Linked DNA regions of Caenorhabditis elegans. The protein of the gene in region 1 interacts with the protein of each later gene in a pairwise test. Each region holds a gene or a part of one and is shown in the gene's direction. Other genes may lie near its edges.

Region 1 (7,842 bases):
AGATTTCATTCAATTACATATGAATATGGCCAGTTACGCAAGGAACGAACTGGATGCCATCGAGAAATTAAATGGTCTTGTACTTTTGCAAAAAGAGACCGGTAAAGAAATTAGCAATGATATGCATGGAAATTATTTTCCATTTCTTTTTAATGTACGCTGGAAGTTTTAAAAACAACATTATCTTATTATCAGTTGAGCGAAAAACGCTAAAACATAAGTTACCGAATTTGCATTAACTCAATTGAATTTTTACAGTTACTTATCAAAAGCGGCTTAAATTTTTGGCTTCATCAATAGCACGGAAATTTCAAAATCGGAATGCGCTGCCAACGGATAATCCAAAAACAAAAATCGTTGTGAAGCAGTAATAGATTCAAATTAAAAGGCTTGAAATTAAAAAAAACTGAGAATAAATTTTCACAGTCCATAATATATTAGCTGCCCTGTCCAGTTCAAATTGCCTGACCAACATCGCATCGTATTTGACTAGAGGTGTCTCACTAATTGCGTGCATTGCGCACTTAGAATAATGGAGTTTTGAATTACACGAGATCTTACAAAAATGCGCGTTGTTTTTTATGTCCGGGAATTTGGATTTGGAGGGTCTCAATTTCACTTAAAAGTGGCAATGACTACAAGTGGCAGAACAGTTAAATTACAATGACTCGGTCGAATCGAAACCGAATGTGCACTTTGCAACAGTATACGAGTCGCGGTGGGCGCTTGGTGCTCGATTTTTGTTGGAAATGTGTGCATCGCGCGTCCTTCAATGTTATGGAAATATGCAGTAGTTCCGGAAAACATCATATCATTTTGAAACATTAGCTACATATTATTCGATACATGGATGGTGGATGTTTTAAGTCTTCAAAACTATATGTTTTCAAGAACAGATGTCAAGACTACTGTAGACTACTGTACTGTACTGTAAGACTACTGTAGGTCAATCACTTCCATCATAATCATAAAATTCTTGTGAAATCAACTATAAAATTACGCCACCCTCATCATCACTTCCGATTATTTGTCCTCTTTCATCCGTGCCCGGAATTCGTCCGCGCTGGTCAAGTTGAACTCGTCGACTCTTTTCTTGCCAAGAAGTTGCTCAACCCCCAAAAAACTTGATCCAGTGTTTCCTGGCGGCGGTTTTACCTCATCTGAGACGCCTTAGTGTTGCTCCCCCAAATAACCCTAAAAAAGGAAACAATAGTACTTTTTCGCAAGAGAGACCGCGACCTCGCGCGCGCCTTCTATTCTCGTGCTCATAAGCGCCGAGCTTCTATTTTCGGCCGACTTGATGTAGAAAGAGACAGAGAAAGAGTACTGACCTCTCTCCGTCTTCGCCACCTTCTCAAGCGTCGTGTGCGAATCTCCGCACCGGTACAGTATACGCGGAGAGGAGAAGAGACGAAAGATAGAAACGAAGAAGACGGAGAGGGCGGCGCGTTTCGCATACAAACCTCCCCAACCCCTCGGAAGCTTCCTATCCTCTAGCTCTCACCCTACCTGCTTCATTCGTTCTCTACCTCACCATCGGAGAGAAGACACATTTCACATCTTAACCCCCACCCACAATACCATTATTTTCAAATTCCGTCTTCTTGTTGCTCCGTTGTCTCCTCCCCTTATCTCCCACCCCATCACAGCCTTTTATCACTTTATCAGTGTTCAAATTTTCCAGCGTGGCAATTGTTGTCGAGTCCACCAAAAGAAGAAGAAGAAGATAGCAGCTTTGTTTTCCATCTGAATCGACCACCTTCTTCCATTTATCATATAATCACAAAGCAGTATACACATAATGCTGCGCAATCTCATTTTAATCACCCTCCTCGGTAAGCTTTCTTTCAAATTTTATATAATACATTCTAGATTCTGTTTATTTTTGAAAAATGTTAGCTCTAAAATTAAATACTCTCTCTTGAAAATCTATATTTTTCCATATATTTTCAGAGGCAAAAAAGTTTCTGAATAGTCTAAATTTGATCTTGAATTTAAATGGGTTTATACATAAAACTTATCAAACTTATTCCATCTTATAGTTTACTATTCAACTACTAGATTGCAAGAATTTGTCTGAAAATCTAGGCCTGAAATATCACTGTATTTTGAGAATTTAAATAATAATAATTTCCCATTCATTTTTCTTATCATTTCTCAAACCAATTTTAATTTACAGTCGCTTCTGGACATGGACAGACGCCTGTAATTGGCGGAACGTGTAAACTTGGAACTGCTGATGTTCAAATTGGAGGAAAACAGACACAGTTTTTCCTCAAGTGCGAGACGACAGCTGAGTGAGTTTCATTCAACCAAAACAACTGAAAATCTTTCATTCTTTTAGTAGTGCCGAAGGTGAAGGTGTCTGGGTTGTGAAGTCGAGAGCCGCCGCCGCTCCTTCATCAGTACCATCTGTTCCAGCTGAAAATACACAGCCACAACAACATCCAAAAGCTCGTAAACCAGCTTCCCCGAACATTTGTGGTGAGTTTCTTAGACTTCTTATTCTTCTTCATCACCAACATTTATTCCTCTATTTTAAATCGGTGGAAGCTCTTAAGTCAACTAATGAGCGAGCCCACTTCTGACCGCAAATAAACATCAACCACAGTGGTCAACAATAAGTTGAAATGAACTGTTACGAGCGATAAGGTATCTAGGAAATTGTAGAAGAAAGAAAAGTAGAAAAAAGTGGAAGTCCGACATCTCCAAGCCATATTTGCTTATGCTTCTGACAGTGTTTCTTGTGTATTTGTGTGTTTACATTTAATTCTTTTCCTTTTCCTCTCACTCAATTCAATTCATTCCAAAAAATAAAACACACACATACAAACACACAAACATCACAAATAGTGTGTAGATATTTTGCCAACGAATTCCAAAACTAGATTCACTACATTTCTTGTGACCAAATTTCATCATCTTTTCGAGGAAATTCGAGGAAAATGCGCCACTTTTGTCTGGGATCCTTTGTTTCACAATTCCATTATTTGACCACTCTAATGAACGCAAATGACCTAAATCCTCTTGATGGGAATGAAGAAAAAAACGCAACTTGCGGTGTCTTGCAATTCCTGCTTGCTCCGCCGGCTTTTGTCCACCACTCACTTGCGCACAGTGCGTTGAGAGTCGCCGGCGCGTGACCAAGAGGGGGTTCAACAAATAGGTCAGAAGGTTGATAAGAGAGTGTTGGAGGAAGGGATACGCAGCTCGCAGAGCTCACCAGTCGCCGCCGCGACCTACCGAGGAAAAGTGTTTTGTTTTTAAGAACCCCAGCGAGAAAAGACAGAAGGGATAACTTAATGAGATCGGGGATTTGGTTTAAAACTGAAATTTCATCTTATTATTCTAAATCGATCAATAAAATATTTTCAGAACAAGACAATGGAGCCCGCGAGAGCGAGGTCTGTGCCGTTTCAGCCACCTGTCTTCAGGCTCATAACGACTTCCCATCTTCCTACCTTCAATGTGACCAAACGTAGGAAACCGTTGCATAATAAAAAACAAAATGTTCAATTCCAGCACTCTCCGATGGGTCCGCAAGTCGTGCCAAGAGAACTTCTTGTTCAACTTTGAGCAACAAACTTGTATCGTTCCAAAGAGAATGAGCTCTCTCTCCCGTAAGTTGTTTTTATGATTAACCACATATTATTTCACTAATTGCTTAAACAGCATCAACATCTTCCCCATCTAACACTGAAAATCCCTGCTCGAAATGCCCACTGGGATCAGCTTGCCGCAATGGTAACTGTATCCCTTTAACAACTTCAAGTAGGTTCTAATCACACTTTTCCCGCCTATGATCTCTAACTTTCCATTAGATTTGTGTTCTGATGGTTCTCCTCCTAATAATACATGTACTCGGGATCCGTACTCTTGTCCCAAGGGACATTTTTGTACCGCACAAAAAGTGTGTTGCCCTTCAACTGCATTGCAATCATCAATTGGATGTTCGACGGTCTGCACAATCGATGAATCGTGTCCAAAAGGAATGACATGCCAGAATAACTGCTGTGAAGAAAGAAAACTACTACGACATCCAAAAGTATATCGATATGCAACTGTAGAGGCAACAAATACAATATTTGAAGTGGATAATGATATTTTTGATAGTGCTGCAATCGAATCACTCCCAACTCAAAAACCGCAGCGACTAGATGAAATTATGGCTCCAGGAATCACACCAACTCCGACAAGAACCACTGAACCTCCAAAACTTCGATGTTTGAGTAGTAACACGGACGAGGTCAATTCATTAGGTGCGTTCACTTTTCTTCCTTCCTTTTCTCATCTGTTTGTGGTCACTTTAAAGTATTTCGGAAAGAGCGCTCTCCGTTTCCACCACTGTTTACAAAGTAAATAGGAGCCTAATGAGAAGCACGCGCATTAGCTAACCACCTCATTTCATCAACTGTACTTTTATAGGCGGAGCATCATCATCATCTGCAACATGTGGAGGAACAAATGCGAATTGTACTTCTGATGAAGATTGTCCAACAACCTTCAAATGTTATCAAGGTTGTTGTAAATTGGCTGTATGTCCGAGAAGTCTAACAGCCGTCAAATTCACATGTAAAACTCAATATCACTGTAGAGCAAATGAACATTGCTTTTTTGGAGGATGCTGCCCAAAAACTATCGAATTAGCTGTGATAAAATCACAAGTTTTGACAATGAGCAAAGACAACGAGCACACCAAAGAGACAGAAAAACTGATAATTGGAGACTGTGAAGTGGATACCAGAGTTAAAAAATGTGATATCGATATTATATGCCCAGAGATGTCAGAATGTGTAGATGGAATATGCTGTAAGCAACCACCAAAGGCACGATGTGGAAATGGATTGATGGCTCTTTCGATTCCAGTTCATTGTTCTCTATCAGATGATTGTCCAATTGCTTCTAGATGTGAATATGGGAAATGTTGTCCGTTCCTCTCAGAATCTGCGGATTCCACTTCCGATAGTGTCGGAGAAACCACGCCTGTAATTATAAAAGAAGAAATAATCTCAACAGCAACAAAAGTTTGGAAGAAAGTTGACAAAACCAGTGGTGTATCGATTAACAAAAATGTAAGTTTCTACTCGAGGTGGTAAAATATTCAATGTTATTTTTTAGAAATGTTTATCCACGCAAAGATGTGATTTACATACTCTGTGCCCTCCCGATTTCACTTGCTCACTGTCGGGCAAATGCTGCAAACTGAACATTCATTGCCCAGACGGGACGGTTCCTGAAACTTCATGTCAGTCTGCTAGTAATCATGATCACTGCCCATCATCATCTCACAAATGTACTTTACTCAATAAGGAACATTTTGCATGCTGTTATAGTCCTGGTAAGAAACATGGCATCCCAAACTTAATTGAACTAATGATTTCCAGGACTTGTCGTCGAAGGAAGTGTAACAGCTGAGGTTTCCTCAGAATGCCCCATAGGATCTGTTGAAGTTGATCCAAGATTCGGAACTTCCTGCCGATACAGTTTGCAGTGTCCATCTCCCTATTTCTGTAATCAACGGGGTAGATGCTGTCAATTAGCTAATACCTAAAAGGTGAGGTTCAAAGAAAATGAACTTAATTCAAACTTTATGTATTTCAGATCCAGATACAATGCTTCAATCCCAATCTCTTTGACAAACACGTGTACACCGACATATTCAATTAAATAACATAACTAACCACATTAAACCTTCGCATGAATACTTACTTCTAACATTCTTCATTATGAAAATCCATACTCCAATAATCTCAATTTACATTTGTAATATTTATGTACAGGTCAACAAGCCAGCGGACTCGTGTGCACATTCTCTAGCTGCTCCAACTCCAACCCATGCTCCGTCGGAACTTGCAACAACGGATACTGTTGCTCCAGTGGATCCAACTCTGGCTCAGCTATTATTGGTAAGTATTTTCAATCATTTTTGATCACTTCCCACAACCAGCACACTTCCATAATTCAGATTCTGACACCAACAGCACAACTAACCCGTCACAACCAGAAACCACAAAAACCAAAAATAATACGAAAAAGTCTAACTCTAGTAAAAAGCACAGAAAACCCAAAAAGAAAGACGTGGATCCCCTCTCTGATCCACTTCTTCAAAATGATTTTCCAATCGGACCTCCTGGCTATGGGTTCCCTGAACATTTATCCAACTTGGATGAAGTTCTGATAAGAGCTCAAGGAGATGGTGGTGAGCACCTTCTAACATCACTTGCACCTTCCAGATGTCTTTTACAGTTTCTTGTGCCGGAGGTTTCCAGTCTTCCTTGATCTGCTCTGTTGGTTCAGAATGTCCAGCTGGATTGCACTGTGATACCGCTATTAACCTCTGCTGTCCGCTTTTACTACCACTCACTGATCCTAAGAACCCAAAAAAGAGAAAAACGAAGAGAAGAAAGCAAAAACAAGATGAAAATGAGATGGAAGCTTCAGCAAACTTCCCAGATTCAGATCCTGCACGATTTTCGTCTTACTCATGTGGATGCAGTAATAAAACATTTTTCTAACAAATTGTATGTACAGTCAGATATTTATATTTAACTTTTCAGTGGGCGGAGGATCCAGCAACTGCGTCGGATGCCAGAATGCCCCACAAATCATCACTATCCGTGAGTACTCTGAAAATTTGAACGCTGAACTTATTTCTGATATTTCAGCACAAAACTCATGCCCAGGAGGTGGATACTCTGTCGGAGGATGCAGCTCTGGATATTGTGCCACTGGATACAGTTGCATCCAAAACCAATGCTGCCCATCATACAACTCTGCTCCAAGAATCTCTGTCTGTAAGTTTTATAGTTTATCGATATAGGTATTTATTCAAATGAATCTTATTCTAGACACCTGCCCATCTGGAGGAAACGCTGTTGGAGCCTGCATGTCTGGAAGATGCGCTAGTGGATACACCTGTAGCAACAACGTTTGCTGCCCACAGACCACCACCACTAACCCATTCGGTAATTTTTAATGTAGACTTTACATTCTAATCTTCGAACTTTCCAGTCTGCCCTGATGGAACCCAAGCTGCTGGAGGATGTGTGAACGGACAATGCGGAACTGGATACACTTGCTCCAATGGACTTTGCTGCGCCGGAACATCAACCACTGTCAAATGTCTTGACGGATCTGACGCCGTCGGAGCTTGCATTCCATCATGCACCGGAGATGGATGCGGAGGAGTTCAAGTCTCATACTATTGCGGATCTGGATACACTTGCACCACCGGAAACATTTGCTGCCCCATCAACAGTTGTCCAAATGGAGGAGAAGTTCTCGGCCCAACCATCAATGGACTTTGCCCAACTGGATACACCGTTCAAGGAAACCTTTGCTGCTCTGCCACCTGTACTGATGGATCAACTGGTCTTCCCTCTGTCAACGGAGTTTGTATCGACGGATACTCCCTTACCAACGGAGTCTGCTGCCCAGCAAGTGTCACCTGTACCGATGAGATTTCCATTGGCCCATGCACAGGAACTGGATTCAACGGAGGATGCCCAGCCGGATACGCTTGCGATTCCAACCAAGTTAACTGCTGCCCAGTTGTCAGATATACTGATGAGTCATGCCAAGTCGGACCAGCTATTGATGGACTCTGCCCACCAGGATACGTCGTTGTCTACATTCCAAACAGTCCACTCATCACCAACGGCGTCAATCCAGGAACTTGTATCGATCTTCAGTGTAGTAAGTTATTCAATCAAAATTATATGAACAGTTTTGAACATTATATGATTTCACCTTCATTAATTATGAAAACTTTAGCCACCGGACTTTGCCTCACTGCTAATCAAATCGGAGACTGCGACACAGCAACAGACGCCGGAACCTGCC
Region 2 (3,576 bases), on another chromosome or scaffold:
ATATATAACATTTACTCTCTGGCTTCACCGTATTTTTTACTCTCGGGCTTCACCGTATATTTTACTCTCTGGCTTCACCGTATATTTCCCGAACTTTACCAATAATCTTAGAAAAAAATTGTCTATTCAGGGCCATATCAAGTCTCCCAAAATTCCAAAATTTTTTTTTTGTAATTTCGTCAAGGTATATGCCTGTAAAAAATAATTCGGATACAGAAACCCCTCTAGCGTGGCTTAAATTTAATTTCCAGGTCCCGAACTTTACCAATAATCTTAGAAAAAAATTTTCTATTCAGGGCCATATCAAGTCTCCCAAAATTCCAAAAATTTTTTTTTGTAATTTCGTCAAGGTATATGCCTGTAAAAAATAATTCGGATACAGAAATTCCTCTAGCGGAGTTCAAGCAGAAAAAGTGGATTTTCAGTCATACCTTTTAGTGCACAGTTTGAGAATGACTAAAAACGACCATGCAAAATTAGTAGATTTTCCAATTTTCAAAAATTAGAATCTGGCGTCAAACTAACTTTTTCAAAAATCCTGTAGCCATTTTGTTGCAAATTTTGTGTTCTTTCAGAATTTCGAAACCAAATTCAAAAAAGTGTGAAGCCAGGGAGTAAAATATTCTGTAAAGCCAGAGAGTAAAATATTCTGTGAAGCCAGAGAGTAAAATATACGGTGAAGCCAGAGAGTAAAATATTCTGCGAAGCCAGAGAGTAAAATATTCTGTGAAGCCAGAGAGTAAAATATACGGTGAAGCCAGAGAGTAAAATATACGGTGAAGCCAGAGAGTAAAATATTCTGCGAAGCCAGAGAGTAAAATATTCTGTGAAGCCAGAGAGTAAAATATACGGTGAAGCCAGAGATTAAAATATTCTGTGAAGCCAGAGAGTAAAATATTCTGTGAAGTTAAAGGCATGAAACTAAATACTCAAGATCGTCTTTTGTACATTACACTTCCAATTTAAGACTTACAGTTCCATTTCTTGCACTCCATGCAATCGTTTCTCCAGAGACGTAGTCAACTTCTGCAGAGTAGTGCACAATTTCAGTATAACTTTCCTCTTTTCCTTCACAATTACTAAACTCTTGTATGTCATTAGGTCTAGATGTCTTGGAGCTTACGTTCTGTATCGTCGTTCCCCTTCACTCCACTTCGTATGCGCAGCACCGTGAAAACAGATTTTCAAGAATCGGGCAGTGATTGGCTCGTTGGATCTCAAAACAACCTGCCCAGTAACAGTTTGACCTGGTGCATAACCTCTCGGGCTATCGAACACAATTCCAAAGTGATCCATATGTTCCATATCTAAACTAAAAAGATACAAGGAAATTTAGAATTTTAATTAAGGAAAATGTTGTATGATTATAAAATGAATGAAAACTGATAAAATGAAGTGGTTATCAAATAAATTGCCGTTTTATAATATAAATATGATTTCACAAAAATCAAATAACGCACGGTATAAGACTGATGACGACATTTTACCTCCTGATTACGCGTTTTGAGTCACAATATATTATAAAACGGCAATTTATTTGATAACCACTTCATTTTATCAGTTTTCATTCATTTTATAATCATACAACATTTTCCTTAATTAAAATTCTAAATTTCCTTGTATCTTTTTAGTTTAGATATGGAACATATGGATCACTTTGGAATTGTGTTCGATAGCCCGAGAGGTTATGCACCAGGTCAAACTGTTACTGGGCAGGTTGTTTTGAGATCCAACGAGCCAATCACTGCCCGATTCTTGAAAATCTGTATTCACGGTGCTGCGCATACGAAGTGGAGTGAAGGGGAACGACGATACAGAACGTAAGCTCCAAGACATCTAGACCTAATGACATACAAGAGTTTAGTAATTGTGAAGGAAAAGAGGAAAGTTATACTGAAATTGTGCACTACTCTGCAGAAGTTGACTACGTCTCTGGAGAAACGATTGCATGGAGTGCAAGAAATGGAACTGTAAGTCTTAAATTGGAAGTGTAATGTACAAAAGACGATCTTGAGTATTTAGTTTCATGCATTTAACTGATAACAAACTACAATATTGTTACAGGAAAAACTTCCATCTGGCCACCATGTCTTCCCGTTTGCATTTCCACTCCCGATAGAATGTCCACCTAGTTTTGAAGGTTTCCACGGCCACGTTCGTTATTCCGTGCGAGTTGAGCTTGACAGACCATGGAAGTTCAACAAAAACGAAAGGGAAGACTTCAAAGGTATTTCGAAAATTGTTAATGTGCGCAAAAAGTTATTTTTCAGTTATTCCCAACTTTGACTTGAATCATCTTCCGTTGGGAAATGTTCCTAGAATGATGAAGGATGTGAAGGACATTGGGCAAATATTTAAAAAAGGAATAGTAACAATAACTGTGAGTACAACGCTGCTACATTGATAGGTTATTTAATGCTTTCAGGTAACTATCCCCAAAGCAGGATATGCTCCTGGAGAATACCTGCCAATCACAATCGACATTGACAATGCTTCCAAACGTGCAGCAACGTTTGTGCGAGCTGAACTTCATCAGCACTCGCATTACAATGCTAGCAAAAACCATGGCCTCTTATGCACTCATTCGTCTTACCACGAACATCACAAGGATGAAAGCAAACGTATTGCAGAAGCTCGAAAAAGCATAAAAATTGCTCCAAAAACCGCTGGCCGTGAAATGCTGCGGATGAAAATCCCAAAGTCGCCACCAACATTTACAAGTCCCATTATCAGCATTGAGTATTGTCTTTCTGTGAGGTTGGACACTTTAACAACCCTTAATAATACATTGCACTGCGAGTTTGATATCATCATCGGCACAGTGCCAATAACTGAATCGATCGTGGAGCCAACGGTAACTACCTTTCCGTCTGATCCACCTGTCCTTGAGCGGCTGGATTCCTAACCTCCAGCCTATTCAACTGTGGTTCCAAGTGCTCCGACCGATGATACAGCGGGAACATCCGCTCTACCGCCGTCTTATGAGGAATCAATGTGTGTAACTAAAATTTAATTGGGTATTTTATTTTATTTTTTCTTGTATAATTGTGAATTAATAAAATTCTGGCCATTTACATTAGTCAATCAATTTTCTTTCTCTATTGCTAAACATTGAGTTTCAAAAATATTCATTTGGCAAAAAATAAGGTAGGGTAGATTCAAAAAACTATAAGGATGAATTGTAAATTACAAGTTTATTACAATCAACAGATAAGTTTAAAAAAAAACATTTCAGAAAATAATATGAGGAGTAGTGATATTCGAGATTGACGGTGAATTTTTATAGACAATTTTACAGGATTTTTTTGTGAGCCACTTTTTGTGCAGTAGTGAAACAAGATAACAGTGCAACGACGACAGCAACTTATTCTAAAAGATAGGAAATGTGAGTGGTTGTCCGGCCATAGACATTTGGACAATCTGCTTTAACAAAGACAGTACGTTGAGCAAGGCAGAAACGCTCAATAATTTCCGATTTCTTGGCCACAAGTTTGGCGGCAAGTCTTTGGCGAACACCTTTATTGTCTTCCTCTGCGTGTTTGTATTCAGATCTTTGCATTCGACGAGCTTTACGTC

Evidence for each region.
Region 2: the proteins of chtb-1 (region 1) and arrd-24 interact in a two-hybrid assay, tested with the Caenorhabditis elegans proteins (one large-scale study listed by BioGRID).

The regions. Positions count from the first base shown.
Region 1 is NC_003281.10:9,349,305-9,357,146, reverse strand, and holds the start of chtb-1 (Chitin binding domain (ChtBD2) containing chtb-1), read left to right. Parts: upstream 1-1,801; coding exon 1,802-1,835; intron 1,836-2,179; coding exon 2,180-2,297; intron 2,298-2,344; coding exon 2,345-2,484; intron 2,485-2,747; exon of another isoform or gene 2,748-2,927; intron 2,928-3,375; coding exon 3,376-3,478; intron 3,479-3,522; coding exon 3,523-3,620; intron 3,621-3,672; coding exon 3,673-3,771; intron 3,772-3,821; coding exon 3,822-4,259; intron 4,260-4,425; coding exon 4,426-5,072; intron 5,073-5,118; coding exon 5,119-5,338; intron 5,339-5,384; coding exon 5,385-5,522; intron 5,523-5,780; coding exon 5,781-5,906; intron 5,907-5,965; coding exon 5,966-6,199; intron 6,200-6,246; coding exon 6,247-6,495; intron 6,496-6,557; coding exon 6,558-6,617; intron 6,618-6,665; coding exon 6,666-6,794; intron 6,795-6,848; coding exon 6,849-6,965; intron 6,966-7,011; coding exon 7,012-7,695; intron 7,696-7,773; coding exon 7,774-7,842.
Region 2 is NC_003284.9:13,978,569-13,982,144, reverse strand, and holds arrd-24 (Arrestin C-terminal-like domain-containing protein), read left to right. Parts: upstream 1-1,627; 5' UTR 1,628-1,638; coding exon 1,639-1,820; intron 1,821-1,864; coding exon 1,865-1,970; intron 1,971-2,064; coding exon 2,065-2,227; intron 2,228-2,270; coding exon 2,271-2,380; intron 2,381-2,425; coding exon 2,426-2,905; 3' UTR 2,906-3,076; downstream 3,077-3,576. Other genes in the region: F48F7.6 (Zf-C4pol domain-containing protein), read right to left, coding at 3,365-3,576.